Rattus norvegicus: one gene and its partners. The protein of the gene in region 2 binds, or shares a complex with, the protein of the main gene of each other region. Links are inferred from orthologs where the notes say so. Each region holds a gene or a part of one and is shown on either strand. Other genes may lie near its edges.

What was found.
Region 1: Ranbp2 (region 2) and Nup98 share a complex: the UniProt entries of both Homo sapiens proteins name them as parts of the nuclear pore complex. The link is inferred for Rattus norvegicus from reciprocal best matches to the Homo sapiens genes RANBP2 and NUP98.
Region 3: Ranbp2 (region 2) and Cetn3 share a complex: the UniProt entries of both Homo sapiens proteins name them as parts of the nuclear pore complex. The link is inferred for Rattus norvegicus from reciprocal best matches to the Homo sapiens genes RANBP2 and CETN3.
Region 4: Ranbp2 (region 2) and Nup153 share a complex: the UniProt entries of both Homo sapiens proteins name them as parts of the nuclear pore complex. The link is inferred for Rattus norvegicus from reciprocal best matches to the Homo sapiens genes RANBP2 and NUP153.
Region 5: the proteins of Ranbp2 (region 2) and Xpo1 are in contact, whole or in part, in a cryo-EM structure (PDB 9B62), measured with the Homo sapiens proteins. The link is inferred for Rattus norvegicus from reciprocal best matches to the Homo sapiens genes RANBP2 and XPO1. Residues at the interface, in NP_006258.3 of Homo sapiens: Val2508, Val2509, Ser2510, Pro2511, Pro2512, Lys2513, Phe2514, Val2515, Phe2516, Gly2841, Phe2842, Gly2843, Ser2845, Thr2846, Gly2847, Leu2848, Ser2849, Phe2850, Ala2851, Leu2853, Ala2854, Asn2857, Ser2858, Gly2859, Asp2860, Phe2861, Ala2862, Phe2863, Gly2864, Ser2865; in NP_003391.1 of Homo sapiens: Trp60, Val63, Asp64, Leu83, Asn97, Gln98, Gly101, Ile102, Lys104, Tyr105, Val107, Gly108, Ile110, Ile111, Leu134, Phe149, Asp152, Ile153, Gly155, Ala156, Ser157, Arg158, Thr159, Ser160, Glu161, Leu163, Cys164, Asn167, Leu208, Phe211.
Region 6: Ranbp2 (region 2) and Nup214 share a complex: the UniProt entries of both Homo sapiens proteins name them as parts of the nuclear pore complex. The link is inferred for Rattus norvegicus from reciprocal best matches to the Homo sapiens genes RANBP2 and NUP214.
Region 7: Ranbp2 (region 2) and Nup85 share a complex: the UniProt entries of both Homo sapiens proteins name them as parts of the nuclear pore complex. The link is inferred for Rattus norvegicus from reciprocal best matches to the Homo sapiens genes RANBP2 and NUP85.

What each region holds. Positions count from the first base shown.
Region 1 is NC_086019.1:165,905,736-165,909,710, forward strand, and holds the end of Nup98 (nuclear pore complex protein Nup98-Nup96 proprotein), read right to left. Parts: intron 2,050-3,975; coding exon 1,938-2,049; intron 1,852-1,937; coding exon 1,634-1,851; 3' UTR 670-1,633; downstream 1-669. UniProt on the Homo sapiens protein: Plays a role in the nuclear pore complex (NPC) assembly and/or maintenance. NUP98 and NUP96 are involved in the bidirectional transport across the NPC. May anchor NUP153 and TPR to the NPC.
Region 2 is NC_086038.1:27,016,222-27,020,234, forward strand, and holds part of Ranbp2 (E3 SUMO-protein ligase RanBP2), read left to right. Parts: coding exon 1-4,013. UniProt on the Homo sapiens protein: E3 SUMO-protein ligase which facilitates SUMO1 and SUMO2 conjugation by UBE2I. Involved in transport factor (Ran-GTP, karyopherin)-mediated protein import via the F-G repeat-containing domain which acts as a docking site for substrates.
Region 3 is NC_086020.1:13,827,802-13,831,814, forward strand, and holds part of Cetn3 (centrin-3), read left to right. Parts: intron 1-1,217; coding exon 1,218-1,332; intron 1,333-4,013. UniProt on the Homo sapiens protein: Plays a fundamental role in microtubule-organizing center structure and function. As a component of the TREX-2 complex, involved in the export of mRNAs to the cytoplasm through the nuclear pores.
Region 4 is NC_086035.1:18,205,554-18,209,566, reverse strand, and holds part of Nup153 (nuclear pore complex protein Nup153), read right to left. Parts: intron 2,315-4,013; coding exon 2,268-2,314; intron 1,861-2,267; coding exon 1,731-1,860; intron 1-1,730. UniProt on the Homo sapiens protein: Component of the nuclear pore complex (NPC), a complex required for the trafficking across the nuclear envelope. Functions as a scaffolding element in the nuclear phase of the NPC essential for normal nucleocytoplasmic transport of proteins and mRNAs.
Region 5 is NC_086032.1:101,458,154-101,462,166, forward strand, and holds part of Xpo1 (exportin-1), read left to right. Parts: intron 1-2,191; coding exon 2,192-2,320; intron 2,321-2,772; coding exon 2,773-2,931; intron 2,932-4,013. UniProt on the Homo sapiens protein: Mediates the nuclear export of cellular proteins (cargos) bearing a leucine-rich nuclear export signal (NES) and of RNAs.
Region 6 is NC_086021.1:35,732,739-35,736,223, forward strand, and holds part of Nup214 (nuclear pore complex protein Nup214), read left to right. Parts: intron 1-423; coding exon 424-595; intron 596-3,485. UniProt on the Homo sapiens protein: Part of the nuclear pore complex. Has a critical role in nucleocytoplasmic transport.
Region 7 is NC_086028.1:101,311,691-101,315,703, forward strand, and holds part of Nup85 (nuclear pore complex protein Nup85), read left to right. Parts: intron 1-328; coding exon 329-398; intron 399-619; coding exon 620-741; intron 742-4,013. UniProt on the Homo sapiens protein: Essential component of the nuclear pore complex (NPC) that seems to be required for NPC assembly and maintenance. As part of the NPC Nup107-160 subcomplex plays a role in RNA export and in tethering NUP96/Nup98 and NUP153 to the nucleus.

The DNA of each region.
Region 1 (3,975 bases), on a different chromosome or scaffold from region 2:
TCCATCCCCTAACAAGAGTTCTGACACAATGGGGCTGGAAGATGGGTTAGTGGCTAAGAACACTGGCTGCTCCTCCAAGAGGACCCAGGTTTGATTCTCGGCACCCTTAAAGTGGCTCGTAACTGTTCCTAATTCCAGTTCTTGAGATCTGATGCCCTCTGGCTTCCACAGGCACTAGGCACATATGTGGTGAACAGATATACATACAAGTAAACCACAACACACGTAAAATAGTAATAAACTCAGACAGACAAAACAAAAACAACCATAATGCTGAGAATTGAGAGTGGGAGTGATAGGTATGACAAATACACTGTATACATGTAAAAAGTCCTTGGAGAGTGCTGCCAGACACATACAGCGCTCTGGGATTACAGGGGTGTGCTAACAGCTTGCCTTTTTATGAAGATTCTGAGAAGTGAACTTGGGGTGTCAGGCTTGTGTGGTTAGTGCTCTGATATGCTGAACTCACTCCTCAGCCCCCTTGTTCTCTTAACTTAGGATCTGTTTCTTTCTTTTTTTTTGGTTCTTTTTTTCGGAGCTGGGGACCGAACCCAGGGCCTTGCGCTTCCTAGGTAAGCGCTCTACCACTGAGCTAAATCCCCAGCCCAGGATCTGTTTCTTAAAGATTCCAGAGTTCCCAAAACACAAAGACAAAACCACCAGGAATACTATAAACATTTCATTTTATTTTTTTTTTAAGAAAGTACTTCAGAAAGAGGAAAATAATCTAGATCATTTATATATATATTTTTTAATAAAAACCTTTACATAATCTTCATGCATAAAGACCCAGGGGTGGCCATATTGTCTGTGACAGCCCCAAATATCCGCTCTTTCAGGCTAGTGCCTGGGACTTCCCATAGCCAGCAGCAATGTGGTGAAGGCCTTCCCTATCTGCCCCTGGGCCCAGCCAGACCTGTCGCAGTGACAGCTTTACCTTCTGAGAAATGTTCTTGGCTAGATGGGAGGGCAGGGAGGAACACCCTTGACATTCTTCATCTAAACTCCTCTGGCAAATCGAGGAAAATGACTGATGATCAAGGGTCAGAGCAGTTCTGGGGCTTCTCAAGAGTTGTTCTCTGTAGCTTGGGGCCACTGCACATGATAGCATGGTGTCCAAAGGATATACAAGGCATGAGTAAAAGCCTTGAAGATCTCCGCCTCCATGGTAGACAGCCCTTCTTTCTTAAATATGTCAAAGAACAAGGTCCAACTCTCTTGATTCCCAAACACACTGTTAACTGAGAAATCTACTTGAGAGACAAATCTGTAGTAAGGGAAGGTCAGTCAGTCATATATCTGGGGTGAGAGTCAGAACTCTGGGTGTGGAAAAGAATTCCCTGGGTTTTGGGAGGTTCTGCCAAAGAGGTTTTATTGACCATTTTTCAAAAGAAAAAAACTGAATGGTCTTGAGGTTGATCAATGGAGACCTGTGTTTTTTGTTGTTGCTGTTCCAGAAGCCCTTATGAGCTATGGTAGGATATGCTCAGTATTATGAAAACCCCTGAATAACTAGAGGATGCTGCGAAGGGCAGCGAAGAGGAGCGGAGGACTCCCAGAGATTGGCAGAGTGTCAATTAAAACAATGTGGGAGACTGTGGTGGCGAGTGCGGATGGGCAGGAGCCAGGCTCATTGGCTCCCAACAGTCAGTTCTCGAAGGTAGGACTGGGTAAGGCCTCGCAGTTCCTCCAAGGCATAGTCCTCAGGCATAGGGAGCCTGCCAATGTGGGGAGCCAAAAGACGCAAAGGGACTCGCTGAGGGTCCGGAGTGGAGTTGGAGGTGGCGTCAGGAGTGTGCTGAAGGCTCAGAACTACCCGCAGTAAGTTGGCTACCCGCTTGGCCATATCTAGAGAGAAATACCAGAGTGAGTACTGAGAACAAGGCACTGGTGTCGGGGTAACGGCCATGAGCAAGCAGAGCCCACATGTTTACCTGACTGAGCCAGGCGATCCTTGGCATTGTAGCACGGAATCTGCTCTATCCGGTTACACAGTGAAGTCACTTTGGTATGTAAGTGCTCTAGTTCATAGCCTGAGCAATCCACCTACAGGAAAACAGAAACCAGTAAGGACAAAACAAACCTCTACCTCACATGCCTCCATCTCAGCACTTCAATGCATGGTCTACGGAATGAGTTTCAAGACAGCCAGGGCTATAAACAGAAACCCTGTCTCAAATAACAAAACCAAAACACTACCACCACCAAAACAAAAAGCCCCATGTATACCTCAATCCCACTCACAGATTACACACAATCCTAAGGACAATGATAGGAGGGGAGAAAACCCAAGAGCTGGTGGCAGTGCCCACGCTACCACCATACCACCTAGTTGCTAAGGCAAGGTACTAACAGTGAACATGAGGGAGTGAACACAGAGCCTTGGGCTGGACAGGTCCTGAGATATGATTCACAAGTCACATAATTTTTACACAACACCAAAAAACATAGGATACATCTGATTCAGACACATAGTATGACACTCAGCAACACACATGTAGTAAGAGGTGACACTTAAACCAGCATTTAATTTACAACTCCTTATTCTAAAGTCACAGCCATTTCTAAAACAGTGCAGGACCTACTCATTTATACACTCTCCTGATCCATCCCTACGGTTCCAACTATAGTCAATGTATTGATTTCTAAGTCCTCAGTTCTAGCCCAACACCAAACTTCCGTTCCTGTGCCACACTCCTTGTTGAAGCTTGGACCACCATTACTTCTCACCTTAAACACCTTAGGAGCTTGGCCACACTACTGTGTTACTCTCTATAATCATGGTGTTGGGTTGTTTTTTGTTTTTTTTTTTAAAGATTTATTTATTATATATAAGTACACCGTATCTGTCTTCGGACACACCAGAAGAGGGCATCATATCTCATTACAGATGGTTGTGAGCCACCATGTGGTTGCTGGGATTTGAACTCAGACCTCTCTGGAAGAGCAGTCAGTGGCTTAACCACTGACCCATCTCTCCAGCCCAATCATTTGTTTTTTTGAGATCCGGTCTTGATATGTAGCCCCAACTGGCCTAGAACTTGTATATTCCAGGCTGGTCCCAAAGTTGCCATTACCCTCTTGTTTCATCATGGCATATTATAGGCATGTAGCACCACACCTTGTCAGAGACATTAAAAACAAACCAGATTTACTTTTCTCCTGTCACCAGGTCAAAGGATGTCTCCTTTCACTATGTGAGTTTTGGAGACTGAACTCAGGTCACCATGCTTGGTTACAAGTGGCTAGAACTCACTTTGAAGAGGGCTTGCAGAATTCACTAATTTATCCCTAAACACAAACTACTCTTACCCTCTGCTATCTTTGCTTGAATTTTACAGACAAGAAAACCTCAAAGAATTGTAAGCTGCGGAAATAAAGAAACCAGATGTCTGTTTCAAAGTAGGGGAAACTTCCTTAAGTAGGCCATTTGTCAGCTGAGACCTTTCTAAAAACACGTCAAGTTTGTAAAAGAAACAGCTAAGCCCTGTAAGGTGCAACACATGCGGTAAAGAGGAAAACAGCGAAACAGAAGGGGAAAGTTAAAGATAATATTTTGTGCATGATGTTTATCAGCATGTATGAGGGCAGAAGAGGGCACTGGATCTCCTGGAACTGGCTAATGTCTATGAGCCACCATGGGGGTACTAAGACTTGAACCTCTGCAAGGGCAGCAAGTGATTTTAACCACTGAGCCATCTCTCCAGCTCCAGACTGGATTTTAAGTGAGGGGTGCGTTTCATTCGGTTATGATTATGAATACCGAGCTACACTCTGAGTGGCATATAATCAACAACCCATGGCAATCTTTTCCTTTACTCTGTAGTATGGCTGGCTTACTCAGTCTTCCCCACTGAATCAGTAAGGAAAAAACGTGCTGTTTACCCCAGTAGCTCCCAAATCCACAGTCCTCAGCATATTTTGGGTTCTTAATGACTATACTGCATAAATGAACTGATTTCAACTAGAAAT
Region 2 (4,013 bases):
AAATCCAATTTTGTTCAGCCCATGCAGGGTGAAGTAATAAGGCCACCTTTGGCAACACCAGCACATACAACACAGCCAACTCCCTTTAAATTTAACTCAAATTTCAAATCAAATGACGGTGACTTCACATTTTCATCACCACAGGTAGTGACACAGTCTCCTTCAACAGCTTACAGTAACAGTGAAAGTCTTTTAGGTCTCCTGACCTCAGATAAACCTTTACAAGGAGATGGCTATAGTGGACTAAAACCAATATCAGCTCAAACTGGTGGGTCTCGGAATACATTCAGTTTTGGAAGCAAAAGTACACTTACAGAAAACATGGGCCCAAATCAGCAGAAAAATTTTGGTTTTCGTCGAAGTGATGATATGTTTACTTTTCACGGTCCAGGAAAGTCCATATTTACAACACCTACTTCAGAACTGGCAAATAAAAGTCATGAAACAGATGGAGGAAGTGCTCATGGAGATGAAGAGGATGATGGTCCTCACTTTGAGCCTGTGGTACCTCTTCCTGACAAGATAGAAGTAAAAACGGGTGAGGAAGATGAAGAAGAATTCTTTTGCAATCGTGCAAAGTTGTTCCGTTTTGATGGTGAATCCAAAGAATGGAAGGAACGTGGGATAGGCAATGTAAAAATACTAAGGCACAAAACATCTGGTAAAATTCGCCTTCTGATGAGACGAGAGCAAGTATTAAAGATCTGTGCAAATCATTATATAAGCCCCGATATGAAACTGACACCAAATGCTGGCTCAGATAGATCTTTTGTATGGCATGCCCTTGATTATGCAGATGAATTGCCCAAACCAGAACAGCTTGCAATTAGATTCAAAACTCCTGAGGAAGCAGCACTATTTAAGTGTAAATTTGAAGAGGCCCAGAACATTTTAAAAGCCTTAGGAACAAATGCCTCTACAGCAGCAAATCATACTCTTAGAATTGTCAAAGAACCTGCAACTCAGGATAACAAGGACATTTGCAAATCTGATGGTGGAAACTTGAACTTTGAATTCCAGATTGTAAAGAAGGAAGGGCCTTTCTGGAATTGTAACAGCTGCTCGTTTAAGAATGCTGCAACTGCTACGAAATGTGTATCATGCCAAAATACAAAACCAACGAATGGCAAAGAGCTCCTAGGTTCACCATTAGTTGAAAATGGCTTTGCTTCTAAAACTGGCCCAGAAAATGTTCAAGATCGATTTGCATTGATGACTCCAAATAAAGAAGGTCACTGGGATTGCAGTGTTTGTTTAGTAAGAAACGAACCCACTGTATCTAGGTGCATTGCATGTCAGAACACAAAGTCTGCTAACAAAAATGGGTCTTCCTTTGCTCAAACTTCTTTCAAATTTGGCCAGGGAGATCTTTCTAAGTCTGCTGACAGTGACTTCAGGTCTGTGTTTTCTAAAAAAGAAGGTCAGTGGGATTGCAGTATATGCCTAGTCCGAAATGAAGCAAGCTCTACAAAATGTGTTGCTTGTCAGAACCCAGCAAAACAGGCTCCTGTCTCATCACCTGCTTCTTTTAAGGCTGGCACTTCAGATGTAAGTAAAACTTCAAAGAGTGGATTTGATGACATGTTTGCTAAGAAAGAAGGACAGTGGGATTGTAGTTTGTGCTCAGTGAGAAATGAAGCAAATGCTGTAAAGTGTGTTGCTTGTCAGAATCCAGTTAAACCCAGTTCATCTACCACTGTTACAGTACTTCCCTCTTTCAAGTTTGGTACCTCAGAGATGACTAAGCCTCCCAGGAGTGGATTTGAGGGCATGTTCGCCAAGAAGGAAGGACAATGGGATTGCAGCTTGTGTTTTGTCCGAAATGAAGCAAGTGCTTCTCAATGTATTGCTTGTCAGAATCCAAATAAGCAGAATCAGCCTACATCTGCTGTATCAGCTCCTGCCTCTTCAGAGACAAGCAAATCTCCAAAGTGTGGTTTTGAAGGCTTGTTTACCAGAAAGGAAGGCGAGTGGGAGTGTACTGTTTGTTCTGTACAAAATGAGAGCTCTTCCCTAAAATGTGTGTCTTGTGATGCCTCCAAGCCAACTCATAAGCCTATTGCAGAAGCTCCTTCAGCTTTCACAGTGGGCTCAAAGTCACAGTTAAATGAATCTGCAGGAAGTCAAGTGGGAACAGAATTCAAAAGTAACTTTCCAGAAAAGAATTTTAAAGTTGGCATATCAGAGCAGAAATTTAAATTTGGGCATGTGGATCAAGAAAAAACACCCTCCTTCACCTTTCAGGGTTCTTCTAATACAGAATTTAAGTCAATCAAGGATGGATTTAGTTTTTGCATTCCTGTATCTGCTGATGGGTTTAAGTTTGGCATTCAGGAGAAGGGAAATCAAGAGAAGAAGAGTGAGAAACATCTTGAAAATGATCCTGGTTTCCAAGCTCATGATACTAGTGGTCAGAAGAATGGTAGTGGTGTGGTCTTTGGTCAGACAAGCAGCACCTTCACCTTTGCAGATCTTGCAAAGTCAACTTCAAGAGAAGGATTTCAGTTTGGCAAGAAAGACCCTAATTTCAAGGGATTTTCAGGTGCAGGAGAAAAATTATTCTCATCACAAAGTGGCAAAGTGGCTGAGAAAGCAAATACTTCTGATCTTGAGAAAGATGACGATGCCTATAAGACCGAGGACAGCGATGACATCCATTTTGAACCAGTAGTGCAGATGCCGGAAAAAGTGGAACTTGTAACAGGGGAAGAAGATGAAAAAGTTTTGTATTCTCAAAGGGTGAAATTATTTAGATTTGATGCTGAGATAAGTCAGTGGAAAGAAAGAGGTTTGGGGAACTTAAAAATTCTCAAAAATGAAGTCAATGGTAAACTAAGAATGCTGATGCGAAGAGAACAAGTACTAAAAGTTTGTGCCAATCATTGGATAACCACTACGATGAACCTGAAGCCTCTCTCAGGGTCAGATAGAGCATGGATGTGGCTAGCCAGTGATTTCTCAGATGGCGATGCTAAACTGGAACAATTGGCTGCAAAGTTTAAAACGCCAGAACTAGCTGAAGAATTCAAGCAGAAATTTGAGGAGTGTCAAAGACTTCTCTTAGACATTCCACTTCAGACACCCCATAAACTTGTAGATACTGGCAGGGCTGCTAAATTAATACAAAGAGCTGAGGAAATGAAGAGCGGACTGAAAGATTTCAAAACATTTTTGACAAATGATCAAGCAAAAGTGACTGAGGAAGAGAACACAAGTTCAGGTGCAGATGCTTCCAGTGCCTCAGACACTACAGTCAAGCAAAACCCTGATAACACTGGGCCCGCCTTAGAATGGGATAACTATGACTTACGGGAAGACGCCTTGGATGACAGTGTCAGCAGCAGCTCAGTTCATGCTTCTCCATTGGCAAGCAGCCCTGTGCGGAAAAACCTCTTCCGCTTTGGTGAGTCAACTACAGGATTTAACTTCAGTTTTAAATCTGCTCTGAGTCCATCTAAGTCTCCTGCCAAGTTGAACCAGAGTGGAACTTCAGTTGGCACTGATGAAGAGTCTGATGTTACTCAAGAAGAAGAGAGAGATGGACAGTACTTTGAACCTGTTGTTCCCTTACCTGATCTAATTGAAGTATCCAGTGGTGAGGAAAATGAACAAGTTGTTTTTAGTCACAGAGCAAAGCTCTACAGATATGATAAAGATGTTGGTCAGTGGAAAGAAAGAGGCATTGGAGATATAAAAATTTTACAGAATTACGATAATAAACAGGTTCGCATAGTGATGAGAAGGGACCAGGTATTAAAACTTTGTGCCAATCATAGGATAACTCCAGATATGACTTTGCAAACTATGAAAGGGACTGAAAGAGTATGGGTGTGGACTGCATGTGATTTTGCAGATGGAGAAAGAAAAATAGAACATTTAGCTGTTCGTTTTAAACTACAAGATGTTGCAGACTCATTTAAGAAAATTTTTGATGAAGCAAAAACAGCACAAGAAAAAGATTGTTTGATAACACCTCATGTTTCTCATCTGAGCACCCCTAGAGAGTCACCATG
Region 3 (4,013 bases), on a different chromosome or scaffold from region 2:
GAGGTCCTCCTTTAGCTCATTCCCTAACCCACTGTTCTCTTGCTGCTGCTCCCCTCCTCCACATAGCATGAGTTCTTCCTGTCCAGTGTCTTAGCTATTCGTTGTCATTGACCATCACAGATGGGGACTTTGTCTCATAGCTGGAGCGTCCTCATTTCTGACTTGTCTTTTACACCACCATTAATTCCTGTTGTTCTTGAATCCTTTGACTATGTTCGTTGCTCATAAGCTGTTTCTGGCTGTCCCCTGTATGCTAAGTAAAGCTTCCTCCGCTCAATGACCTTTGAATGCTACTGTCTCCACTTCCCACTTGTCCTTAGTTAGGAATTTCTTCTGCCCAGAGCCTCCCGGTCCAGACGGGGACACCTTCATCCCAGTCGTTGTCTCCACGTCCTTTCTTTCAGCTCTTCCTCTGTTCAGTAAGGGACCACTGACTTAGAAGACCTCACTGACTACTAACCCAGCTTTCCTTTCCTGGGACTAGCAGCGGTTTTCTGTGTAAACTCAGTCATCTGAAACTAATTGCACCGCAGCAGCTAATTATACCTGCTCCGCTGGGAATGCCGACTGCTTGCTTGTTTGCTGAGAAAGGATCTTTATATGTATCCCATGCTGGTCTCAAATGTATGACAGTCCTGTTTCAGTCTCTTGAGTGATCAGATTATACAGTTCCACTATGTCAACCATGGATGCCTGAGACTTTTATGCTTTTTATTGCTTTTATGCGCCAAGAGCATATCTGTGACATGTCTCTATATCCCTTATTTGAATGTTATTTGTATTAGTTTAAAATTTTTTACTATATGAAAATAACTACATGATGTGCAGACCCTGTCTCCAAACAAACACATAGCGTTTATGTTGAAGGAGAGAAAATAGTGCTTTCTTTGTTTCAGAATTCAGAAGTTGGAAATATATTTGTATGTGTTATGTAACAAATTATTATCTTTGTATTTAATGCATTGTTTTATGTATTTTTTGTAAACTCTTTAATTAGTTGGTCATATAAAATAGCAAAATGTCAATGAAAATAATTTCTAATTTCAAAATGAAAAACCAACATGGTGTCATATTCTTAACTTAGAGATTAAAAATACAGAATAATTGTGCTTTAGAAATCTATTGTCATCTTTTAAGATGGAAACTTTTTGATAAATCAATGATGCTTCTTTTGTAAGGAGCGCGTTACAATTTGTTTTTCCTTTTTAATCCAAAAGGTGGCAATGAGAGCCTTGGGTTTTGATGTGAAAAAGGCGGATGTATTGAAGATTCTTAAAGATTATGACAGAGAAGCCACAGGCAAGATCACATTTGAAGATTTTAATGAAGTTGGTATGTACTTAAGTCGTCTTTATACCCAGTACTTGTTGGAAAATTATGAGGTTTTTTTTTTTTTTATGTTTTCAAAGAGAAAAAATATTTCCAGCTCTACTGTGAGAATTAGTTTTGACTTGATGATTTCTTTAACAAAGAATTATTGTCAGTTTTTTGGGGGTTTATTAAAATTATGTCACTAAAGGGTGACCAAAATAGTTTTTGTCAGTACAATAGATAGCTTAATATCCTGACATTTAGGAATATCTGTGAAGACTGCTGTGCTTCGTGACTTTTGTTGGTACAGTGCAGAAGAGGGAAGTAGGACTTTGTGTCTTGGTGGGAGACGGGGACATGAAGTCCATCTTGTTAGGTTGACAGTTTGTTAGACTCTGTACTCCCAGTAACCTTGATCTCAGTGAGAGTGCGTGTTGTAAAGCTGAGGTGCTGGCCAGGCTGTCGTGAGGGATGTCTCGGCAGGATCGAAGCAGGAGAAGCTCAGAAATGCCACCTGAAGATGGTAGGAGCTTACTGTGATTGAGTCTTGGGTAGTAATTCTTATCAAGTTACTCAGGCTATATATACAGCTAAGGAGTTTTCAGTAGAACATTTTGGAAGGCTAGGAGTCGGCTACTGTAACTTAAAGCCAATGATACCATTTAGGGGTCATAATCTAAACATGTCATATAGTTATTTTTATATATTAAAAAAATTAAAACTAATACAATTATACATGCACCTAAACCCGCACATTTAAATATTAAAGAAGTAATGTAGGGAAGAAAAAGAAATGGTAATAAGAAGACAGAGGGACTCCCCCCCACCCCGCAATTTCTCCCTTGTTAGGAAACTCCTACCTAAAGTACAGGAGGCAGCAGTTCAAGGACAAATCTTTAGGGAGTAGTGTGCCTTTTTCAAAGGCAGACTGTCCCCACCCAGTCTGTAGGATTGTTTCCTTGAGGAGAGCATGAGCCACCTTTCTCCTCACAGTGTGGGTGGTCCTCAGGTCAATCACAGTACCCAGGTCATTTAACACAGGGCGTTTAGAGAAGCAAGGTGTCTGGACGTAGTGGAAATGATGCTTTCATGACAAAGCTAAAATGAAGGCACATTAAGCACCACAGTGGAGTGTTAGCACAGGCTACCCTGGACCCACATTCCAGGCTTCAGGTCTTGGTTCTGACTCTGACTGTGAAACTTTGTTAGTTTACTTGTCTGTGACTCATTTCCATGTATGAAATGGGGAACAGTGTACTGTGCTGTAGGTTTCTGGGAGGTAAGTGGGTGATTAGCATGTGAAATGTTAAAGACTGTAGTGGATAGTAAGAGCTACTAAATGTTGGTATTCTGATTAAGAATAATCCCAGCACTCAGGGTGAAGAAGTATCCCATTCTCTGTAAGTTTGAGGTCAGGCTACTCTGCATAAGGAACCCTAGGCCAGACGGGGCTATGAGACACTGTCTCCAAGCAAAACACATAGAGTTTGTGTCAGTGGAGAGAAAATAGTGCTTTCTTTGTTTCAGAACTCAGAAGTTGGAAATATATTTGTATTGTTGGGACATTAAAGCATTCTGTTCTATAATCTTATTGTTTTATTTTCTGTTTTTCATTTTGAAGGCTGCTTTAAGCATTATTCATAGTTTTGTGAACCCTATTTTTCATAAGTACAATTTTAAGAACTGTAGTGTTTACTATTGTACTACTTAGGAACAGACTTTCATATTACCTAAACCTTAGCATTATGGACGATGTGTTGTTGCCTAAGGACTCCGTCCCACAGATATCTCCATATCGGGATCTCCCAGTTAAGGGAAAAAAGGGATTACAGTACATTTAGTACAGTGGAAGCTAGAATCATTTGTCTGAGGCTAATGAGTAGCAGGTGTTTCAGGATTTTCTGCTTTTAAGGTAAGGTCAATAGAAGTGAAATGTTTTTACTTCATCTGTTCCTGGCTTGTACTTCTTACATTTTAAATCCTATCTCAAAGGAAATATTACAGTGTTTTCATTTTGATTATTTATCCAACACTGAAATTTTTGCATTTGGCAGGAGGAATGGGAGTTAAAATTACCAAGAAAGTGCATTGAGGAGCTTAGGATTTCAGGGTAGGTGACACTACATTTTGATTCTGTGTGAGAGACATTGTTATCTGGCGTCATGTTTGTGGACGCTGCTTCTCTGCCACCATGTGGTAGTTTAGACTGCGAGCTTAGGACTCCCGAAAGCCTAAAATGTTTCCTATCAGACCTTTTATAGGAAATGTTTATTAAGTCTTTACCCAGGGAATTTAAGTTTTTGCAAAGGGGATTTTTTTTTTAAACTTAAATCTTTAGGGATTGAAGATTTCCAAGAAGATTGTAGGAGTAGCTGAGATGCAGTCCAGACTTAGACGGTGACAAAGCAGAGTGGCACTAGGTGTTCAGCACCGGGAGAGGCTTCAGCTCATGCAGTCCCTTCTATGAGGGATCATCAGTGCACTGCAAAGGCAGCCTCAGTCAGACTGATCATTATACCTAGTGAAGTAAGATGGGACTTCAGTCAGCGGAGTTTAAGGAACGGGAGACTGTGTTTTACAATGGTAGCTGATGAGAAGATTGAAGATGAGCTGAAGGGGATTTTGGAGGCAGAAAGTTCCAGACTTTATGGTCAAGGTTGTTGGTGTGAAAGAAAGACGCTCCATTTGAGAGTAAGGCAAGA
Region 4 (4,013 bases), on a different chromosome or scaffold from region 2:
TAAAACCACAGGCAGCAAATATCTGGTAATCCCCCTGCTCCCATAACAAACCGGGAGGCATAGATGAGAATTCCCAGCAGTTACCAGCCAGCTAGCCTGGCATGAACACAGCAAACAACAGAGATCCTGTATCAAACAAAGAGGAAGACAAAGATCAATGCCTGATGCTGTCCAATGGTCTCCACACATGTGACCACAATCACATACTAGAAAAAAAATCCCTATTAATGAAATATAAGTTTTAAACTTTAAAATACAATAAACATAATGAGAAATTGTAACTGGAAACAAGTAAGTCAAAGTATTAAGTCCCCAAGGCTGGAAAGATGGCTGCCTTGTTAAGAGTACTGGCTGCTGTTGCAGGAGGGCTGAGTTCAGTCAGTTCCCAACCTTAGATGGTGGTTCACAACTATCCATGGCTCCAATTTGAAGGACTGCAACGCCCTCTTCAAACCTCCATGGGCATTGCATGTGTGTGGTGCAAAGAAATAACACGCAGTCAAAGCACCCCTACACATAAAAGTTTATAAAGCCCTACATTCCAATTAAAGGAGCAAGTAAGTTGAACATCTTAGAAGGTGGTGAAAGCCTAAAATGATTTAGCTTGGATGAAATCAATTTTAAGAAGACTGAAACGGGATGTTCCAACTCAAAAAGTAGCTAAAATAAATAAATAAAATGAGCAATCTCTAGACAGAAAGTCAATTTAACCAATCTTCAATTAGTCTCTATGTTCTATATCTAAACAATACCTAGAGATCAATTCTTTTTCAAATTTACCTACTTCTGTGTGTGTTTGTGTGTGTGCACATGTAAACACACACATGTGGCGGTTAACCAACAACCCGCAGACTCAGACCTCCTATTCCACCATGGGAACGGATGAAACTAAAGTCACCAGATTGGCAGCAGCACCTCTACCCAGAGCTACCTCACCAGTCCAAGAACTCATCCTAATTAATAGGAAAATAATAAAAGACAAACCTAAATGGTCACAAAACACATACAAAAGATTCCTCCTTCCCATGAAACAAGACGCAAAATAAAGCCCGGGTGACTTTTTTTCTAGCTATCACACTAGAAATGGACCAAAACCAAATGCTAGTAAGGAAAAATTTTAAAAATTAAGATCCATCTATGATCACATGGAGTGTTGTGAAGAGAATAATAGCCAAGACCAACAACACATTTAAAGACATGTCAAATCCTGTAGTCCAAAAACCTCATTCCTGGTAAATATCCTCCAGACCAAACTGCACATGGCAAAGGAGAAGTGTATCAATATTCACCTTAGCACATACTGGGGATCAGCCCAAATGTACCCTGATGAGAGAATGGACTAATTGTAGTAAATCTGCACAAAGGATAAACAGCAGAGAAATGTAAATTCCATTGTTCCATTAAACATGAACCATCGCAGAGAGAGTACACAGTGTTAATCGTATGTACACTTGAGAAACAAGCAAAACCCGAAGGCAGCAACCAGAGAATCCAATAATGTCGATGGGAATTATCTCACATACAAAAATACATAAAATAAAAAGGTGGAGGGGTTTTTTAAAGTTATTTTACCCAATTCGTGAAGTTGAGGCCTCTGGGCTGGGTATTAGAGCAATGGTCGAAAGGATGGTTTCAATGGTCGATACTCTTCACTCCAAATCTTCAAGCCCCATTCCTATAGGCCTTACTTCACCCCGACCCTCTCAAAGTTCTATAAAATGTGAGCCTACCTCCTCCTCTGAAGGTTTAGAAGCAACAAAATGTGTTGTTCTCTCTCTTCTCATCTTGCCACCTCCACCACCTACTCCAGAAGATAAACCATTGGCTGCAGGAATACTGAAATTGGGGTATGAAAAGCCACTAGCAAACAAAAAAAAGAAAATTAGAACAATTTCAATATTTTGTTGCAGAAACTGTTAAATATTCAAACACCAGATCAGCTAACAAAACAATTAGGGTATAGCCAAATATACTTTGAAATTTCTTCTGCATTTATTTATGTATTCATACATTCATGGGCATGTAAGCACACATGATCTTAGTATGGGCAGCTTGTGAAGGTTAGTGGGAAAGCTCTTGGCAGTCAGGTCTCTCCTTCCACTACGTGGGACTAAACACAGGTTTCAGGTTTGGTAGAGTACCCTGACCTGCTGAGCATCTCGCTCACCACCTAAGTATACGTTTCAATTTTCTTTATCTTCAAGGCTATTGTAAATATGAACCCTACAAATATAAAGAAATCCATTTGCAGTATATGATGACATTACCTTTCTTGCTCTCTATTTTGTCTTGAGATATTTTTTTCATCTACAGTCTGAAAGAAAAAAATAGTATGAGGATTTTATTTAAAAAATGACAATTATTTGGGGAGTGGGGTAATAATGAGGAGTGCCTCGAACTCCGTATACAGCTCAGACTGAACTTGAGATCTAGTTCCCGCTGCCTCCACCCATCAAGTGCAGAGATCACAGGTGAGCATTTCTGGCTTAGTTTTTTTTTTCAGTGCTGTGATTAACTCAGCCTTATCAAATGCAAGGCAAGTACTTCCACCACTGAAAGCTACATCCATAGATTCAAACTCTCTTAACATCCTTTTACTTATAAATTTTATTATTTGAAATTAAAAATTTGATTTTCTAATGGCCTTGGTATATGTAATTTAGACATTGTGTTTGAATGCTAACCAAAGGTCACAACTGCACTGTGCACTGTAATATGAGCATATATACAAAATGTCACACATCTACTAGTCCAAAGGTCACACTGACTTTTAGGGGACAACTTTCCTTTTTGCTGTACTAAATGATAGACAACTTTACAAGGACAGAATCTGAGATATAAAGTACTCCCAACTCATCAGAACTATCAGAGAACCAGAAATGTACAAGATTCGGAATTACCTTGCAATATAAAAAAATAAGATACCCAAAACTGATGGGGCATAATAAAAGGACACAGAATCCATTCAAAGGCAAATACAGGGGAAGATAAGCATCAAAGAAGCAACTCTAAAATTAAGGATTCAGTTAAACACAGAAAATTCTCTACAGCAAAGGGCCAATCAATAGATGGAAAAAGAACAATAGAACTAAAAGTCTACCACAGTGCAATCAAAAACAGCTTGAGGCAAAAATTCTCAATAATGCTAATGGGATCAAAAATAGACAGGAGAGGGCTGGAGAGATGGCTCAGTGGTTAAGAGCACTGACAGCTCTTCCAGAGGTCCTCAGTTCAATTCCCAGCAACCAGGGTGGTTCACAATCATCTGTAATGGGATCTAATGCCCTCTTCTGGTGTGCCTGAAGACAGTGACAGTGTACTTATTATATACATAAAATAAAAAATAAATCTTTAAAAAAAAAAAAAAACAGGATAAGTTCCACTTGAGCCCTAAGATGAGCTCAACCCTCCTTCAGTGGATAACCAGGAATAACCAGAATCTAGACCCACCCAGGACAATCTCTTAGCGCTGTGCATTCTATACAGTAACTAACTCGTCTTTTCAAAAATATTCTAGATTAATGAAGACAAAGACAGATGACAACTACATGTCACGGTCTTGATGATGTCTGTCAGTATTTAACATCTAAATAAAATTTATAGTTTTGTGCAGCACCAAGATTCTCTTCTTGGGTTTGAACTCTATTATCTACTACAGAGAATCCTAATTTGTAAAATAAACAGAGGGGGGAAAGAGACAAATTTAGTAAAATACTAGTACTTTTCTTACAAGCTGAGATGTAGCTCTGTGGTAAAGCACTTGCCTTGGAAGCCTTGACAAGCAATTAGGCTTGACTAATTATTAATAATAATATTTTTTACTCTTGAAAATAGGAAGGTTCAATAAAGATACCCTAATACGACAAAAAATTAATGACTAATAAACTAATATTAGCTAGTACCTGGGTAATCACTACACTAGTCTACCAAATGTAATGTTTTTCAAGAAACTGAGCTGTTTTTATGAGACTGGAAAAGAGTGTAGGCACAAACAGTAAAACGATAAACTAAAA
Region 5 (4,013 bases), on a different chromosome or scaffold from region 2:
AAATATTGTGTGTATTGTGGGTGGTTGCCTGCAATGCTCCACATGGGGGTGTGGGAATGAACATCAGGTGCTTTTTTTTTTAAAACCTTCTAAGCACTCTCAGAGGCTCCATGTCTAAGGATTTCAAGTTTGAGTGAGGCTTCTTGTTGTAAAATTGTAAAAATAAAAAGCTGTCTTTTACCCTCATTAGATCCAGCACTATAGACGGCAAAGCGGCTCACCGGCTCTGCTCCATCCCATATCACACAATCAGGGGTCTCTCTCTGACCCTGGCAACAATCTCTCTGTCCATCTAGTTCCCAAGGCAGGCTTCATTCACCATGCCAGAAACACACATCCCATCCGTGGTGCCCCAGTCTCTCTGCTGACACATACTCTCCCAAACTCAAATCTCCACAAGGAAGAACACACAACACCACCTATGATCCAGTTGATAAAATATAATTGAACACCTAAACATGCAAAGCCCTGTACACACCCATCCCTTAAGAACATTCATAACAACCTGTAAATACACAGAGTGGAATCTTTACATCAGCCTCCATGTTCTCTCCACGGCTTCCTCTCCTTTGTCCTTCCATTCCAGTCTCCTTTTTCCCTCAAACTTCCGCCCATCCTTCTCTTCCAATGACAGGTTTTGTTCTATCTTGTACCTGCCTTCACCTGTGTGACATGTTACAGAGGCCGGCCTATACATAGCAGGGTGTGGGGGTTCGTGCTTGTTCAAGGGTCAAGCAAGACAAAGCACAGACTTCTGTGGGCCACACCAGAGTTGAAATCCCAGCATTTAATCAGTGTGTGGCTGGGTTAGCCCAGGATTTAAGGACTACAGGGTTACATGTCTCAGAAAAGGATAATAATAGTGGTGGGGAGGGTGGGGGCTGGTGAGGGTGGGTGTAGGGGTGGTGAGGGTGAAAACTGGAGGATGCTATTTCTGGTACAATTAGTAAATTGCTTTCTTTTGTTTCAGTCACAGTGAAGAAAATCAGATGTTTACTTCTGTAAATGGGGGGGTTGTTTACGTTGTTGTGTAAATGCTTGTCCCCAGGATTAGACTCAGGTCGTCAATCTTAGCTGCAAATGCTCCAACACTGTGGTCATAAAAGTATTTTATCTGATGAGTAGAATAAGATGAACCCCCAATTGTTGTTCTCAAAACAAAAAAGATTAACAGGTGAGCATTGTGAGCTGGCTGTTCACAAACTAACCACCAAGGATACGCAGGGTCTATAACTGAATTTCTTTTTCCTTTTTTTTTTTTTTTTTTTTTTTCCTCCCCTGGAGCTGGGGACGGAACCCAGGGCCTTGAGCTTGCCAGGCAAGGGCTCTACCAGTGAGCTAAATCCCCAACCCCCTGAATTTCTTTATAGCATTCCTAACCTTAGTTATGTTAATTATCTCCTTAAGACACTGGGGGGTGTAGAAATGGTATGGGCATCATGGTTCAAGTCAGCCTCATTCAGTATAGCGGATATCATAGCTGATATGTAAGTGAACATTTTCTCTTTGACCGTTGTCTAGTCTTGCTCCTGCAAAGGATGTACTGCACAGTGGTCTCTAGCTAATGTCAGTTTTCAAGTTCTTTAGTCGTACCTTTGAACATTTTATACTTTTGGTTATTTTATTTTATAATGAGCCCTAGTCAGGGTCTCAAGTCCATTGGACATAGTGATAATCTTGAGAAAGTTACCACAGGTGCCTCCCATACCCCGTTTACTGAGCTGTGGCTTACTTTTTGCTTAGTGTGCACAGGCTTGTCCCTGTAGTGAACATCTGTGATGCAACACAGGAAGGTCAGAAGTTGAAGGTCTTCTTCAGGTGCAGAGCACCTGGATCTCTGATACAAAAAAAAACATGTGCCCCTTAAAGATTTCAGTATTTTGAGTATATTGTATTTCATACATAATAGGCTGGCTGTATTATTACATTTATATTTATTTGCATAAAGTTGCTTTGTTTTGTTTACATTTGTTTTTTTGTGGGAATGGTATTTGACTGCATGCATGGACATGTGTCACCTGAGTGTCGCTGGGAATTGCTACTTGTGAGTGTTGGGAGAAGAGTCTGGGTCCTCAGCAAAAGTCCCAAATGCTTTTATCCACCATCAACTCTCCAACCCGTTCCCCTTTGTCATTTTTAAATAAAACATTTCTTGTGTTTAACTTCGATATTTTTTCTTTTAATAAAATAGTTCCTGAATGTTCCGATGTTCCGAAACGTGTCTCTAAAGTGCCTCACGGAGATTGCTGGTGTGAGTGTGAGCCAGTATGAGGAGCAGTTTGAAACTCTGTTTACACTTACAATGATGCAGCTAAAACAGGTACATACCACTGCCCTGAAATTGTTAGATTCATAACCAACAGCAGTGCAATGCCAGATAAGCAGATTAAAAGGCGAGCTTTAAGTTAAACCATCAGTCACTACAGATCAGCCATGATGTGGTGTGTGTGTTACATGCAATTCTAGGTGGAAATTTTTATGTTTTCTTTTAAAAATATTGTTTTACTGATACCGTGATATAGTTCAGATTTGTTGTTCCGAGTGTAAAAGGACTTTTTAAACCCCAGTATGATTCATCCGGATGCACGGTTACAGGTTTGTTGTCTTGAGAGAAAGTCTGATAGAAAAACTATAAAATCAATCTGGACTGACCAGCAACAAATCTGAGATAGTATGTTGTGTGTCAGTTGCAGACGGCTCTTGCCGTGTTAGGGCTTCCACTTTATTTGATGCTTCTATGATATGTAGATTGATGATGGTTTCAACTTGCAGATGCTTCCTTTAAACACTAATATCCGACTTGCATATTCGAATGGGAAAGATGATGAACAGAACTTTATTCAAAATCTCAGTCTGTTTCTCTGCACCTTCCTAAAGGAGCATGGTCAACTTCTAGAGAAAAGGCTGAATCTCAGGGAAGCACTCATGGAGGTAGGTCTGCTTCTTGACATTTATTTCTACAAGAGATGATTTTGACTATGAGCCCGTTACATCATGGATTTTGGAGACAGGGTCCCTGTATGTCCTCCTGCCTGGCTGTCCTTGAACTCAACTGTGTAGAGCATGTTGACCTTAAACTCAGAGGTGTACTTGCCTCTGCCTCCCACATGCTGGCACTGTATGCATGTACTGGGCTCTTTTTTTGGAGACAGGTTCTCATACTCTTTTCTGGGTGTTTGGAGCTCAGTAGAGCATTTTAGTGTTGAACTACTGGGAACTCATTTCTTAGCTTCCAAGTACTCATATCACTGGTATAAAGCATGTCTTGTTTCAAAACTAGATTTCTAAATACTGGCCTGATATTTATTGTTGGGTGTGTTTCTATGCTAAGCATCACCACCATGTCTGGATTTCTGTCTTGTGATCTAAAGTTTTCTAATTTAAAAGTATAAAAATTGCCAAGTGTAGTAGTGTAAACCTAATCCCAGCCCTCTGAATTCTAGATAGAGCATGTGGGGCACACGGGAAACCCTGTCTCAAAGAACAAAGTAGCATATATTTTAGCATGTTCCAAATCCAGTTCAGCTAACAGTAATATAGTTTTCAAACATTTTCACTATCTCCACAGCATATCGTGTGCCCATGAGATCATTACTGTTATATCAGGTCTCATAGGTCCAAATCCATTGCTTTATGTCTCTGGATTTGTCTGTTACTTTTATATATATGATATGATACATGACCTTTTCAACGTATATTTTAGTATGTTGTATCTCTAGTCTTTTTTTTTTTTTTTTTTCCTTTTCTTTTTTTTTCGGAGCTGGGGACCGAACCCAGGGCCTTGCGCTTCCTAGGTAAGCGCTCTACAACTGAGCTAAATCCCCAACCTTAGTATGTTGTGACATTACTATGTTCTTTTATTTTTTCTTTTTCTCTTTCTTTTTTTCGGAGCTGGGGACCGAACCCAGGGCCTTCCACTTGCTAGTCCACTGAGCGAAATCCCCAACCCTGACATTACTATGCTCTTCATTGTTATATGATATTTCATTTTTTTTAAGATTTTATTTATTCAT
Region 6 (3,485 bases), on a different chromosome or scaffold from region 2:
ATTAGCTGGGTTTCCCCAGAACTAGGAGCCTGGTGTGTGTGGCAGTATACAGTAAAACCTGCCACCCTGCCACCCTGCCACCCTGCCACCGCTGTGTTGAGACACCAGGAGGCACTAACCCTGGGATGGGCCTGCAGAGTTGGGGTGGTTTGTTCTCAGCAGGACTTGAGACAAGTTCCACCTGCTTCAGTAAGGCACCGATGTCCTCAGATCTCTTGTTGCCACAGCCCCTCTGCTCCTACTGGGGGAAGCAGTTTGGCTGAGGGATTGAGGTTGGGGTTTTGTGCTTTTTGGGTCCTTGTGTTGGAGTTACTGACGTCCTATCTCCCTCTCTCCTCTTTTGGTTTGGTTTCTGGCTGCTCGATGCCTTCTCTCCTGTCTCCTTTCCTTTCCCCCTGTTCTGTTTGCCTCTGTTTTGCTCAGGTGGCTTCGGTGCTGCTCCAGTGTTTGGCAGCCCTCCTACTTTTGGGGGATCCCCTGGGTTTGGAGGGGTGCCAGCATTCGGTTCAGCCCCAGCCTTTACAAGCCCTCTGGGCTCGACGGGAGGCAAAGTGTTCGGAGAGGGTACTGCGGCCGCCAGCGCAGGAGGATTCGGGTAAGCTGCAGGTGGGACCTGGGGAAACCACAAACCTGTGCCAGCCCAGAGCAGCAGGGCCTGACGTTCCTATATGCTCTAAACCAGGCAGTGACCCAGAGGCCTTGCCTTTAAGTAGACAAAAAAGTTGCTGGAAGATTCCTTTTTCTCTAGGACGAGGCACATTGTAAGCAGGTTCTTAACATCGTAGGTAGATGTCAGCCACAACATTGCTGGCTGTCAGTGTGCAGCATGCAGGACATCCATACCCAGTTCCCTGGACCAGGTTTGCTGCAGCTGGGCCTGTGTCTCAGGTGGTCCTTGTATTAGAAAGTCCTGGGGCTGGGGATTTAGCTCAGTGGTAGAGCGCTTACCTAGGAAGCGCAAGGCCCTGGGTTCGGTCCCCAGCTCCGAAAAAAAGAACCAAAAAAAAAAAAAAAAAAAGAAAGTCCTGAAGGAAGAGTTAGGATTGTTCTCTTGAGATGTCTGTTAGCCTCTAGCAAACAACTCCTGTGTGTCCTGTTCTAGGACACCAACTGGATAACCCTCACTCAAGACTGCTGTTCCCTTGTTGTCAACAGCTGTTCCGTATCCTGCACACATCCGCATTAGGAAAATCCCATGGCGGGGATGGCTCAGCAGTTAAGAGCACTAACCAATCTTCCAGAGGACCCGGGTTCAAATCCCAGCTCACAATTGTCTGAAACTCCAAGATCTGATACCTTCCTATAGATGTACATGCAGTCAAGACAACAGTGTACAAAAAGAAAAATTAACTTGAAAAGGGGGGGGGGAGTTGCTTCTAATAGCCCTAGAACTTTAGTCTGGTTGCCAGAACACCAAGAAATAGCCTTTGCTACACTGTATCTTCTCAACTAAGTATGTCAGCAGAGTCCCTCATTTGAAGAAGATGCTGATGCCTAAAGCAGGCCCAGACAGGCTCTCGCCCTCGGTGCTCAGCTCAGAACAGAGATCTGAGGGTTAAGAGTAACATGGGTGTCGAACTTGAAACAGCAGCGCTTTATCCTGAAAGGAGAGTGTGGTCTTATCAATCTTGGCTCCACAGAGGGGCGCTAGAGCGCTCAGGGAGATCATGCAGGATGACAGGCACTCCTTAGTTCTTGTGGAGGCTAAGGAATCCTGGTCAATTTGCCTTGAGAAACTCCAAGAACAACAGTTTTTGGGTTGTTTGTTTGTTTGTTTGTTTGTTTGTTTTAAAGATTGATTTATTTATTATAAGTACACTGATGCTGTCTTCAGACACAGCAGAAGAGGGCATCAGATCCCATTACAGATGGTTGTGAGCCACCATGTGGTTGCTGGGAATTGAACTCAGGACCTCTGGAAGAGCAGTCAGTGTTCTTAACCACTGAGCCATCTCTCCAGTCCCCAAAGAACAATAGTTAGAGAACTTTCAGAAGAGAGAGTTGAGAACCACTGTAAGCCAGTGTTTCGTACAGTTCTGGATGGACTCCACCTGTGTACACTGGGGGTGTTGAGAGTTTGCTAAGTCACTTGAAAGCAGCTGTTTGCTTCACTGGTAGAGAAGTTTCCTCGGGATTGTGAGCGTAGCTCAGTTGTAGAGACTTACTGGGCACCCTCACAATCCTAAGTGAGTCCCAATACAACCTTCAAAATGCTAGCATTTCCCTGTGGGTAACGCGCACCTATTCAGGGTGCTGAAGGAAGAGGCTGTGGGATGTGAAGCCAGCATAGGCTACATAGGAAGACCTGTGCCAAAACAGTAAAGAATTCAGTAAAACCACAAAGCGTGAAGACCTGCGTCTACTCCCCAGCACCCACATAAGAAACCAAGTAGGGACAGCACGTGGTTGGGGTTCTCAGACTGAGGAGACGTCTCTGGGGCTTGCCAGCACACTGAAACTCAGCCCCAGGTCTCAGTGAAACCCTGCCTCTAAAAATAAGGTGGCTGGCTCCCCGACGCAGGACGCTTGAGGCTGGTCCACACTCACAGGAGTGTCTTAGTAACCGTGACTGGCTGGCACATTGTCTAGGGCTGGGAAACGTACCGACACAGACATTAAATCTCTGGAAAGACAGTTCTGTGCCATCCTAACTCTGATCCTGACAGAGATCTCATGTCACCCCTGAAGGAGGAGCACAGGGATAGCAGGACCACCAGGGAATAGTGCAGGAGAGGACCTGGTGTGTGAAGGGCGGGCACTGGGTTCTCCTTGTAACTTAGGAGTAGGTCCTGTCTCTTTTCCCAAGAAACACCAACTGCTCTCTCCCTGACCTCTAGGAGGCCCCCCCTGAACCCCTCAAGATGTTTTTGGTTATATCTTCAACCCCACTGGTCAACCAAATCTGGAGGGAAAACCCTTGAATGAGGATGGTTCTAGCTGAGGTAGCAGGAGGAAGAAGATGGCATCATTTCTACATTGTTTTCTATGTTTATTGATTGTTATAAAACACACGTCTAAGTGAAATAACATGGAAAGTCTCTCTCTCTCTCACACACACACACACACACACACACACACAAAATGGAAGCATGATGACTGCCTCCATGTACAGAGTCCCTCTACCAAGTAATTAAAAGCAGACAGGCCGGAGCTGGGGATTTAGCTCAGTGGTAGAGCGCTTGCCTAGCAAGCTCAAGGCCCTGGGTTCAGTCCCCAGCTCCGAAAAAAAAAGAAAAAAAAAACAAAACAAACAAAAAAGCAGACAGGCCAGCAATAGGCTTCGTAAGTTAAAGCACTCACCATGAATGCTGATCCTCAAATCCATGATAAAAGAAAAGGCTCTTCTCTAAAGTTGTCCTCTGACCTCCACTACACGCTGTATCACTCACATGCCAGCATCCACACACAACACATCACACACACTTGTACAGTCTTAAAAGGTGAGTAGAGCGCTGGGCCTGTAGCTCAGTGAGAGACCCTGGCCG
Region 7 (4,013 bases), on a different chromosome or scaffold from region 2:
TGGTTCTAACTTCCCAATTTTGTTTTACTTTTCTTATTGACAGACTTTCTCAAAATTACCTTTTCTTTTTACTCAAATGAGGCGCCTTCTTAACCCACAATCCATCAAGAGCATCCGTGTGATATGCTAGTTTACTTTTCTAATTCACCTTAAAATAAAATCACCAGTGTTAGCATTCTGCAGGTTTTTATCTCCCTATCTGACATCTTCTGCTGGGCTGCCTGGTGGGAACTCCTGCTGTAGGAGTGCTGGTGACTGGGGGGTGTTTCAGGTAAACTACATAGTGACTGAGGGATGTCTCAGGTAAGCTGGCCTCTTTTCTCCTTAGGTCTCCATTTTGTCAGCCATGGAGCTTATTTGGAACCTGTGCGAGATTCTTTTCATTGAAGTAGCTCCAGGTAACGCCAGTTTGTTTGTTTCATGTAGCCTGTTAGGCCAGGCTAGCTCTGTATAGCATCACAGGGTCCCTGCCATACTCTGTCCTTCTTAGTTGCAGGGAATAAACCCCTCTCCAGTCAGGGCTTCTGCTTTAAATTCGTATCAGCGTCTGTACTTTGGGTGAGGGGAACATGCTGCAGATGAAGCTGGGATCTTTTGTGTGACAAGAGTCTCTCCTCAGCTGGACCTCTCCTCCTCCATCTTCTTGACTGGGTCCGACTGCACGTGTGCGAGGTGGACAGTTTGTCAGCAGATGTCCTGGGCAGTGACCACCCAAGCAAGCATGAGAGCTTCTGGAACTTGGTGAGTGTGCGGGACTGCAGTCGGCTGACTGGGAGGACCTGCTCCAGCTGCGGCTCAGCTCTCTGGGTGTGTGATTGTAGAGTAGGTTTTCCATCTTCCCTTCTGCTCCAGAGCAGTTAAAAACTAGTTTAGCATGGAGAGGGAGCTTGGTAAACTCCTGACCAGGAGGCTTTGTTTGTAGATCTGAGGGAGAGAAGGTATGAAGATACTAAGTGGCTGAGGAGACTGAGGAGAGGTGGGGTGCAGAAGACACAAGTGGTCATTTTGAGGTGGGAGGATACTCTCGGGCAGCAGTTACCAACCTGTCAGATCCTTACATTACTACTCATGGACAGCAGCAAGGAAATGACTCCGTGGCTGGAAGTCACCCCAGCATGAGCTGTGTGAAGGCTCATGCATTAGGAAGGGTGAGGTGCGCTGACAAGGGGCTTGAGGGCATTGTAGTGAATGCCCGCATAGCATCTGGGAGAGCAAGATCTCCAGCACCTCAAGAGGAGAAAGTATCCTGTTTGGTTTCTTCGTTGGATTATTTTGTTGAATTTATACATTTTAATTCACGGCTTCTTTGTGTAGGCTTATCTGCCCTACCAGGCTGCCCTGGAACCCACAGAGGTCCACCTGCCTCTGCCTCCTAACTGCTGGGATTAAAGGCGTGGCCACCACTGCCCCATTTTTCTTCCTCCTTGAGACAGGGTATCTCTGTGTAGCCCTGGCTGTCCTGTTACTAGCTTTGGTTTGCTTTTTGAGACAAGGTCTCTCTATGTAGCCCTGCTGGCCTGGAGCTCATTTCTAATCCAGGCTGGCCTCACCTCCTGAATGCTGGGATTATTTATGTGCAGACTGCGTCTGCTTTCTCATTAGCCTTGACACGGGGTCTTCATTACCTCGTATTTCAGAGGCAGTATAGCGACTCTCAGAACATAGGATAGTCAGGTACTGGAGGTAGAGTTTAGTAGGAGAGTACTTGACCAGCATGCACTGGTCCCTATGCCCACCACCACAAAAGGAACACAGTTGGCCGGGAGGGTGTGAGAGAAAGGTGGGCAGGTGGGTGATCTGGTGAAAGAGAGGACTGGTATGTGCTGACTAGGTCATGGAGATAGGAGTCTGGAATTCAAGGAGGGAAGTCTACCAGAAGGGGAAATTTGGGGGATTTGAGTACATACAATCAGGTGATGTGTGTGACTATAAGTGTTTTGTATATTTTACATAAATCCACAGTATAATCAGTTCATTGTTTATGGGCATTAGAGCTGCCCTGAACCAAACTGCTGAACCCTGAAGCATTGCTCATAGTTCCACTAAGCCTCTGGTCACCTTGTGTTTGGGGTGCTTATGCATGGTGAGAAAGCTTTCCTCTGTTACCGAGCTTCATCCCCAGACCCTCAGCACAGTATTATCAACTGGGGAGATGGCACGCGTATTAATGGTTGCAGTTATTTGGTGGTTGAAGTTGGAGTAGCACTTGAACTCAGGGTCAGAGACAGCCTGGGCAATATTGTGAGATCATGTCTCAGCCAGCACTGTACGTACCAACCTTTGGTTTTTTTTTTTTTTTTTTTGGTTCTTTTTTTTTTCGGAGCTGGGGACCGAACCCAGGGCCTTGCGCTTCCTAGGTAAGCGCTCTACCACTGAGCTAAATCCCCAGCCCCTTTTTTTTTTAAGATTTATTTATTTTATGTATATGAGTGCACTGTAGCTGTCTTCAGACACACCAGAAGGGGGCATCAGATCCCATTACAGATGGTTGTGAGCCACCATGTGGTTGCTGGGATTTGAACTCAGAACCTCTGGAAGAGCAGACAGTGCTCTTAACCACTGAGCCATCTCTCCAGTGCGCCCCCCCCCCTTTTTATTGTAAAGATTAATCAGTTTCAGATTATGGTAGCACTCACCTTTAGTCCCAGCTCACCTTTAGAACTCAAGAGCGAGACCGATCTCTGAGTTCAAGTCCAGCTTGTTCTACAGAGAGTTCCAGGATAGTCAGGGATATACAGAGAAATCCTGTCTCAACAAAGCAGCCAATCAGTCAATAAAAGATTAATGTGCTTTCAGTCATGGGTGTATATGTTATGCATGTGAACCATGTGTGTGCTTGGTGACTGCGTGGGCCAAAGAGGCTATCTGAGCCTGGAAAATTGGGGCTGTAGGTAACTGAACTGCCGTGTAGGTGCTGAATCTCGGTCCTCTGCAAGGACAGAGAGAACACTTAACTACTGAGTCTATTTTTTGTTGTTCATTTGTTTTTTTGCTCTTTTGAGACGGGAACTCAGATGGCCTTGACTGCCATTGAGCCAGGCATGAGCTTGAATGTCTGATCTTTCTGCTTACAAGCATTTGCCACTCTTTGAGTTTAATGTGATGTTGGGGATGACCAGGACCTGGTGGACATATCTAAGCTCATAGCATTGTGTGGTGTATGTTTCTGCTTACAGGAGGCCCCTGTGTGGGCCTGTGTTCACTTGTTTGTTTGCTTGTGTGAGTTTCTGATGTTTTGAGAGAAAGTCTCTTTTTTTTTTTTCTTTTTTTTTTTTTTCTTTTTTTTTTTTCTTTTTTCTTTTTTCTGGAGCTGGGGACCGAACCCAGGGCCTTGCGCCTGCTAGGCAAGTGCTCTACCACTGAGCTAAATCCCCAATCCCCTGAGAGAAAGTCTCACACCATGTTGGCCACTCATGGCAATTGTTCTTCAGCTTCTCAAATAGTAGGATTACACATGTAAGCCACCATGTTTGGCTCTCAGTAGGGGTGTGTGTGTGTGTGTGTGTGTGTGTGTGTGTGTGTGTGTGTGTGTGTGTTAAGGTGGACTGTGCTGCCACTGCGCTGTATTTCTGAGTGGACCTGCATGGCTGTGCCCGACTACTGACTCCTGTTTGCCCCTTGCTGTGCTGACCGCTGTGTGCCCCACACTGACAGGTCTGTACAGGATAGAACTTGTATAGAACTCAGGTCCTTGCTTACAAAATATGAGCTTTTCTGACTGGGTCATCTCCCAGCCTGGTTTCTTCTTTTCCACTGAAAAGGTTTGTGGCAGTTTTATACATGTTTGTGATGAAGTTTGGGGTTGCACGTACTGCTCAGCGATCAAGAGCACGTACTGGCTGCTCTCGCAAAGGACCAAGTTCAGTTGGTCACTACCTGTGTTGTGTGTTTGTAAGTTCAGTTCCTCTGTCCTCTGCAGGTACCTGCACTTGTGCACATACCCCAAACCCCATCTACATACATACATACATACATACATACATACATACATACATACATACACTTTAAGGAAA